Linked DNA regions of Oryctolagus cuniculus. The main gene of each other region encodes a partner of the protein of the gene in region 2 in a complex. Links are inferred from orthologs where the notes say so. Each region holds a gene or a part of one and is shown on either strand. Other genes may lie near its edges.

What was found.
Region 1: the proteins of OSGEP (region 2) and LAGE3 are in contact, whole or in part, in a crystal structure (PDB 6GWJ), measured with the Homo sapiens proteins. The link is inferred for Oryctolagus cuniculus from reciprocal best matches to the Homo sapiens genes OSGEP and LAGE3. Residues at the interface, in NP_060277.1 of Homo sapiens: Arg50, Ile53, Leu54, Asp55, Leu57, Gln58, Leu61, Gln69, Ala84, Val87, Ser88, Val91, Val92, Arg94, Thr95, Val96, Gln98, Leu99, Trp100, Asn101, Leu315, Ser318, Gly319, Val320; in NP_006005.2 of Homo sapiens: Glu76, Ile77, Gly80, Ser81, Leu82, Pro84, Asp85, Asp125, Gln126, Leu129, Val130, Arg132, Thr133, Met134, Arg136, Phe137, Gly138, Pro139, Pro140, Val141, Arg143.

Annotation. Positions count from the first base shown.
Region 1 is NC_091453.1:132,705,611-132,708,806, reverse strand, and holds LAGE3 (EKC/KEOPS complex subunit LAGE3), read left to right. Parts: upstream 1-1,403; 5' UTR 1,404-1,490; coding exon 1,491-1,699; intron 1,700-1,971; coding exon 1,972-2,100; intron 2,101-2,380; coding exon 2,381-2,495; 3' UTR 2,496-2,696; downstream 2,697-3,196. UniProt on the Homo sapiens protein: Component of the EKC/KEOPS complex that is required for the formation of a threonylcarbamoyl group on adenosine at position 37 (t(6)A37) in tRNAs that read codons beginning with adenine.
Region 2 is NC_091443.1:54,295,986-54,300,283, forward strand, and holds the start of OSGEP (tRNA N6-adenosine threonylcarbamoyltransferase), read left to right. Parts: upstream 1-1,498; 5' UTR 1,499-1,698; coding exon 1,699-1,813; intron 1,814-3,550; coding exon 3,551-3,670; intron 3,671-3,840; coding exon 3,841-4,016; intron 4,017-4,298. Other genes in the region: DNA repair nuclease/redox regulator APEX1, read right to left, coding at 313-500, 716-773. UniProt on the Homo sapiens protein: Component of the EKC/KEOPS complex that is required for the formation of a threonylcarbamoyl group on adenosine at position 37 (t(6)A37) in tRNAs that read codons beginning with adenine.

The DNA of each region.
Region 1 (3,196 bases), on a different chromosome or scaffold from region 2:
TTCAGAATGGGGAGGGCAAGGTTCAGCGGCTAGAACTTTCCTGATGGGCCAAGCGCCAAAGAACCAAGAGCTGAGCTGAGAGCCCAGTCCGCACTGAGACCGGGCCTTCTGAGGGACTGGGGTCCAGTTCTTCCCTGTTTCTCTTCCCCGCAAGGGCTTTGCTGGGTGTGAAATGGGTGAAATCCCTCCCAAAGTTTTATTACCCAGTTATCAGACTGAGCAGCCTGCTTAGCGCCAGACAGAGGGTTCTCCTGGGGTGCCTTTTTGGGAGGCAAGGCTGGGGCCACCAATAAAGTGACGGGGGTGGACAGGGCTTTGTCGTGTAAAAAAATACAGGACTGCTGCCCAAGTGCACGTCCCAGGCTGCTACATTGCTTTCCACCAGGGCTTTGTTTTCCTTAGGCCCTCTTCACACACACAGCTAATCTCTCCCTTGCTACCTAACAGCCTCACACACAGTCTGAGATCGATCTTGTTACCTAACAGAACGAACTGATACAATGGAACTACGATACATTTGGCAAACTTCAGCGACGGAAAAAAAATCTAGAGCCAAGGTGGCGTTGTAGTTTACCAGGTAAGGCTGTAGCCAGCAACGCTATGAAATGGTTGCTCCTCTTCCAATCCAGCTCTCTGCTGTGGCCTGGGAAAGCAGTAGAAGATGGCCCCGGTCCTTGGGCCCCTGCACCTGTGTGGGACACCCTGAAGAAGCTCCTGACTTTGGATTGGCGCAGCTCTGGCAGTTGCGGGCAACTGGTGAACCAGTGGATGGAAGACCTCTTTCTCTTTCAAATAAATCTATTTAAAATTTATTTATTTGAAAGATAGGGTTAGACAGTGAGAGAAAGAGACAGAGAGAAGGTCTCCCCAAATGGCCGCTACGGCTGGCGCTGCGCCGATCCGAAGCCAGGAGCCAGGTGCCTCTCCTGGTCTCCCATGCGGGTGCAGGCACCCAAGCACTTGGGCCATCCTCCACTGCACTCCCGGCCACAGCAGAGAGCTGGAGAGAAGAGGAGCAACCGGGACTAGAACCCAGCGCCCGTATGGGATGCCGGCGCCGCAGGCGGAGGATTAACCAAGTGAGCCACAGCGCCGGCCCCAAAATAAATAAATCTTAAAAAAAATATATATTGCAGCTCAGTTTCTCCAGGGCCTGTGGGTACCAGCAGCGCTGTGTTGTCGGGAACCGACCACGCATCTGCCTGCTTCACTGGAGGTATGTTCTGGCTAGCGCACTAGCATCGAATCACGAATGCAGTGTTTCTGAAGCTGCCAGGGTCTCCAAGAGCCCCCACGTTGGGCCACTATCGCGGGAACTCACGAGGCGTCCCAACAGCCTCGTCAAAGGTGTGTTTGCGCAGGCGCGCGTGGACGTGGTCGTGCGCGAGGGGCGGAGCTTCAGGAGGGCGGGCAATCTACGAAGCTCCTGGAGATGGCGGGCCGTGGCGCAGCGCCCTGAGGGTGGGGTTGAGGGCGGGGCAGCGGCAGCCATGCAGGCTGCGGACGCAGGCGCAGGCGGCGTGGCGGGCGGCGCTCACACCCAGCGTGGACGGCGTGGCCGCGACTTTCCCGATGGTACCGACACAGAAGCAGCTGCAGCCCGTGGAACTCGAGAAGTCGCGCAGGCACCGCACGCTGCCGTTCCGGGCGGAGACGCCGCGACAGCAGCCGCAAGCCCGGGAATGCGACCACACTCCTTGTATCCTGCGGGAGGGGCACAGTGGGGGAAGGGGGTGGAGGCTGCCCGTGGTGGGGGCAGGGTAGCCTGGAACAGAAGGTGGGAAGGGCGAGTGGGAGGACCGGTAGCACAGAAAGAAGAGCAGGGTAATCGGAGCCGCCCGGATGGCTGTGGGATTAAAGCGTTAGCCAGTGGGGGGCGCCCGAGAGAGGTCATGGAAGCCGTCAGAAGAGCCAGGGAAACAGACTCGGGCAAAGTCGCTTCCGATGGTGCCTTTACCAAACCTCCACCAGTACCCTCAGTGTGCCTTTTCCCACCCGTCTGGAGGCAGAAATCGCCTGTGAGTCCCTGGCTCCAGATGCTGAGCCTCACCCAGAAGCGATTGGAAAGGACCTCGCAGTGACCGGCACCGTCCTGGCGGTGTAAATGCTTCCGGGGGCCGGGGGTGGGGTGGCAGGAGTGGGGGAGCGGGAGGCGGTGAGGGGAAGGCAACAGGGGATGTGGCCATTCTCCACTGAGAGGTAGGCTGGGAGGCCTGGAGGCACTCCGGGGGAAGTCTAAGGAGCAGGTCTGGGACGCTGCCCGAGAGGCCCTGTAATACCGGGGCTTCCAGGATCTGCTGCACTGGATGCCTGAGGGGTAGAGCAAGGGATGTGGGCAGCTACTGTCCCCGACTTGATTTTCTTGTTCCTTCCCTTTTAGCCGCTGGACAGCTAAAGATCCTCGCCTCCTCCGAGTTTCCATCATCAGCTTTCTTGAGCAGCTTTCCCTGGTGGTGCGCACCCTGCAGCGCTTCGGGCCTCCCGTTGCCCGCTAAGACTGGACTGGGTAAAGGGGCCCAGTTGTTACCTTGCTCGCCTCCTAGAAAATGTGTCTCCCTAGGGCGATCATGCCCGAAGCAGGATGGGGCCTAATGGCTTGCCTGCATTGGGTTCTGGGTGCTCAAGATCTGTTTGTTTTCACCAGTGCTTAAATGTTTGCTACCACAGAAAATAAAACTGACCTCTTCCCAGTTTCATATCCTTTTCACATACAAATATCCTTGCCATTGTCCTGGAGTTGCAGTGGAAGAAACGAGATTCACATGTTTAAGAAATGCAAGTTGGGGGCCGGCGCCGCGGCTCACTAGGCTAATCCTCAGCCTTGCGGCACCGGCACACCGGGTTCTAGTCCCGGTCGGGGCGCCGGATTCTGTCCTGGTTGCCCCTCTTCCAGGCCAGCTCTCTGCTGTGGCCAGGGAGTGCAGTGGAGGATGGCCCAAGTGCTTGGGCCCTGCACCCCATGGGAGACCAGGAGAAGCACCTGGCTCCTGCCATCGGATCAGCATGGTGCACCGGCCGCGGCGGCCATTGGAGGGTGAACCAACGGCAAAGGAAGACCTTTCTCTCTGTTTCTCTCTCTCACTGTCCACTCTGCCTGTCAAAAAATAAAAATAAATAAAAAAAAATGCAAGTTGGGGCTGGTGTTGAGGGACAGTGGGTTAAGCTGCCACCTACGTTGCTGGCATCCCGTATAAGT
Region 2 (4,298 bases):
TCACAAGGGCAGCTAAGACTTTTAAGCAGTAGATTTGGGAATGGAGGGTATTCTGGAGCTAAAATGGAGGCTGGCCAGCACAGAGGTTTTTGCAACAGTCGGAGGAAGGATACATTAGTAAGACTGGCAATGGCAATGAAGGAATGGACATTCCAGCAAGTCTTGGTTCATCTTCTACTGCTTTCCCTTTGCCCCTTGTACTTCTCCCACAAGAAAAGAAAGGAGAAAAAAAAGTTACATCCTGGGCATTAAAATGAAAAGACGCTAATGAAGCCCTGAGACCATTCAGCATGAAATCTGAATTCCACTCACATCTAAGCCTTTCTTCTTAATCCAGGCTCGAAGCCCATCCACGTTCCAGGAGCAGATCTTCAGTGTGGCAGCTTTGCCGCTAGGTGAGGTTTTCTGGTCTGGGGGGTCCTCATACAGCACGGGGCCCTCTCCTGCTGACTCTTTTTCATTTTTCTTCGCTGCCGTCTTAGCCTTCTTGGTCTCTGGCTCTATAACGAGAATAATACGTAGGGATAAGAGCTGGAGGTTTCCAACATCGAGTCAGAGTCCAAGGCAAACGCACCGCGACCCTGCGGTTAGCGCGACTTCCTCTCCTGCGCCCGCTATGAGTTGGCCCACAGCTAACATTTCGCCAAGGGACTCAGAAGCAGCCCCCCCAACCCCGCCCACCGCGACTGGCAGGGAGAGGCCGCTTCACTCTCACCCGTCTTGGGCTCCTCCCCGTCTTCTGCCGCGGCCCCCTTCTTCCCTCGCTTTGGCATGCCTGTAACGATCGCCCTTCGGCACCCGAACCACGTCGACCACCGAAGCAGTATCTTCACCGCGATGCCTAAGGATGCAAAGATATACGACTCAGCCGGCGAAGGCTGGGGAGAAAACTCCTGCCCTGGACGGCCCCCGCACTAAGTCCCGCCTTTCAAACCACATAATCTCTGAATCCTGTCCCCGCCTCGGTGCATCAGGCCTTCGGCGCTTCACTCCCCAACTAGATCTATCCATAGAGCGTTTGAATCACCGCGAGATCCGCTCTACGGCCAACGGGAGACCTTTACTAAAGGTCCCGTGAGGCAGCTAGCGGAGGCCCCTCCAACAAGCAAAAACGCAGCGCTGCACCTGACCTGCTCCTGCCCCGCTCCTGCCCCAGCCTGGCTCCTTACCCGAGCACAAAGAAGGGAGCACGCTGGACGCCCACGTGGGTAACTGGCGTGGTCACGTGACCCGAGGCCGCGCGTGATTGGGCCGTCTGCCACCACGTGACGGAGACTCTGACACGCCCCTCTCACTCCGCGGAGGGCTGAAGGTCCCAAGGCTCCGTTCTTGGGCTGTTCACGTTCGTGCCTGATGTACGGCTCCTTCTGCCGCCCTGACCGAAGGAGCCGGCGCCGTGCGAGGGGGCAGAAGCTCAGTGGCAGCGACTGGGCTGGGCCGCAGGAGAGAGGCGGGGGAGTGGACTAGGCAGGGCCGGCGCAGAGGCCGGCTCAGCGCTCCCGGCAGCTCCGGAGACAGGTTCCGGAAGGGGCCTTGTGGGTCGCCGGCGGGCGCAGGCGCAGGCGCGGGCACTGCCCCCGCGGCAGGTTTTGGTGTCCGGGCGCGGTTTACTGTTTACCAACAGCGTGCCGGTACCGCCCGCCGAGGGCTGTCGCGGCTCGGTGTTTGGCGCCTTGGCGTTCTCTCTCAGGCGGCGCCATGCCGACGGTGCTGGGGTTTGAAGGCAGCGCCAACAAGATTGGCGTGGGAGTGGTGCGGGATGGCAAGGTGCTGGCCAACCCGCGGCGGACCTATGTCACGCCTCCGGGCACAGGTGAGTCCTGGACTTAATTTGCGACGACCTTCCCCGCGCACATCACCTATTTCCCTGAACACCAGTGAATGGGGCCCGGGGAATTTTGTCCCATTTTACAGCTCGTTGAGGTTATGTGATGTTATTGTCAGAAGGCGGATGAGTGGAAGAGCCACAGGCGCTTGGACCTGAATCTTCTGGGGTTGTCGAGCTTTCATTGAATGCTTTTTGCGTACCAAGACCTCATAAACTTGTAGAAATCTACCCTGGAGTCTAATGTATAAACGAATTGTAACAGCGTGATGAGTGGTGTAATAGAGATGGACTCAAAATGTTGTAAAATGCGGAGGAGAGACGTGAAGATGGAAGGAATTAGGATTTAGGTACCGGATAGAATTGACTGGTATTGGGATACTCTTGACTTTTTTTTTTTTCACTTTTTAATGTTTGCTTTTTGCTTATTTTTATCTACTGGAAAGGCAGGGTGACAGCCAGCCAGAGAGAACCTCATCTACTGGTCCACTTCCCAAATGCCTGCAGTAGCCAGGGCTGAGTGAGGCAGAAGCCAGGAGCCAATAGCTCCATCCGTGTCTCCCATTTATGGGTTGCAGGGGCTCATACTCTTGGCCATCATCTGCTCCCTGCCAGGGTGCACATCAGCAGGAACTTGGATTGGAAGCCGAGTAGCTAGGCCTTGAGCCTGGGCACTCCCATGGGGAATGTGGGTGTCCCAAGTGCCAGAACACCCACTGTACTTTGTGACTCTTAAAATGGGAGTGGTGGTGCCTTAACATTGTGTCTTGGGGACTAAATGAAAGTACCAGACACTGAACAGCTTCTGTTCCGTATGGTTTATGAGCTATTGTATCTTGCCTACTCTCCCCTCAAACACCTGCACATATAGGAGGGGGCAAATGATTTCCATGTACCAGAGCAGCCTCTGAACAAGTAATGTGACGGGTTGTACGTATTAGAAGTGCTTGTATATCTATGTTTAAGTCTTTCCTATTCTAAGCACTTGGGTACTGGGAGTACAAGAATAAATCAAATAGCCAATGTTTTCAGGTAATTGTAGTTAAACTGTGGAAACCACTGATAATTTTAATGCTATGCTGTAATTGTTAGGTGTAAGATACAGTGATGTGATTATGTGTAGGATTCTGCATGAGGTAGGTATCGGTTGAGTTTGTTTTTTTTTTCAAAGATTTTTTTTTTTTAATTTTAGAGTTATAGGCAGAGAGAGAGAGAGAGAGAGAGAGAGAGGTGTCTCCCATCTGCTGGCTCATTTCCCAAATGGCCACAATGACCAGAGCTGGACCAATCTGAAGGCAGGAGTCAGGAGCTTCTTTTGGGTCTCCCACATGGGTTCAGGGGCCCAAGCATTTGGGCCATCTTCTACTGCTTTCATCAGCAGGGAGCTGGATGGGAAGTGGTGCAGCGGGGACTCGAACTGGTGCCCATATGGGATGCCGGCACTGCAGGTGGACGCTTAACCTACTACGCCACAGTGCCGGCCCCTCACTTGGGTCTTAATGCTGAGTAGGAATTGAGTAGGAAGAAAGGCACTTCTGATACCTGAACAGCTTACGTAGAGGTTAGAATGTGTCTGAAAACCTGGAAGACAGGGTGCTTGAGGAGAATGGAAGGAGTCTTCCTGCATTACTGAAACTCAGGAGGCTTCACTGTCATAGTTTTAAAATTCTACTTGTCTTTGCTGCAGAAAACCCTTATGACCCCTGGCCTGTTCCCATTTTCTAGGATTCCTTCCAGGTGACACTGCCAGGCACCACCGAGCTGTTATCCTAGATCTGCTGCAGGAGGCGCTGAGCGAGGCTGGATTAACCTCCCAGGATATTGACTGCATTGCCTACACCAAGGGTATGACTGGGGGAGGGGTCAGTGTTGGAGGAATGTGGAGCCTGGGTAGGTCAAAATGTCCTCTGCCTTGCCTCTGTCACCACCACAAGCCCTCTCCCGCTTTGACATTCCCTAGTTCCTCACCTGTTTTTTTCCAATCCAGCATTCTGACTACCATTTCTGTCCCCTAGGTCCTGGCATGGGTGCTCCACTAGTTTCTGTGGCTGTCGTGGCTCGTACCGTGGCCCAGCTGTGGAATAAGCCATTGCTAGGCGTGAACCACTGTATAGGCCACATTGAGATGGGCCGTCTCATCACTGGAGCCACCAGCCCAACTGTGCTGTATGTCAGCGGGGGAAACACACAGGTATTTTGAGTACTCCACCTATTTCATCCTACTTTGTGGGCAGTGAACCAGTGACTTCTGTGGCTTACCTGAGTTGTGGGGACTGCCTGTGAAACAGAACTGAACCTAGCTCTTCACCAGAAAACTCACAACAGAGTTCGTAATAGCAGATTTCGACAGGTTATTAAAACTTTAGGTGACTTTTATATATTTGATTATACAAAAAAGATTAGGAATTTCCAATTTAGAAAACAATGATAAGGATTTAAGCTTATATTATTTTGAAGCTTTTTTTTCTGTACA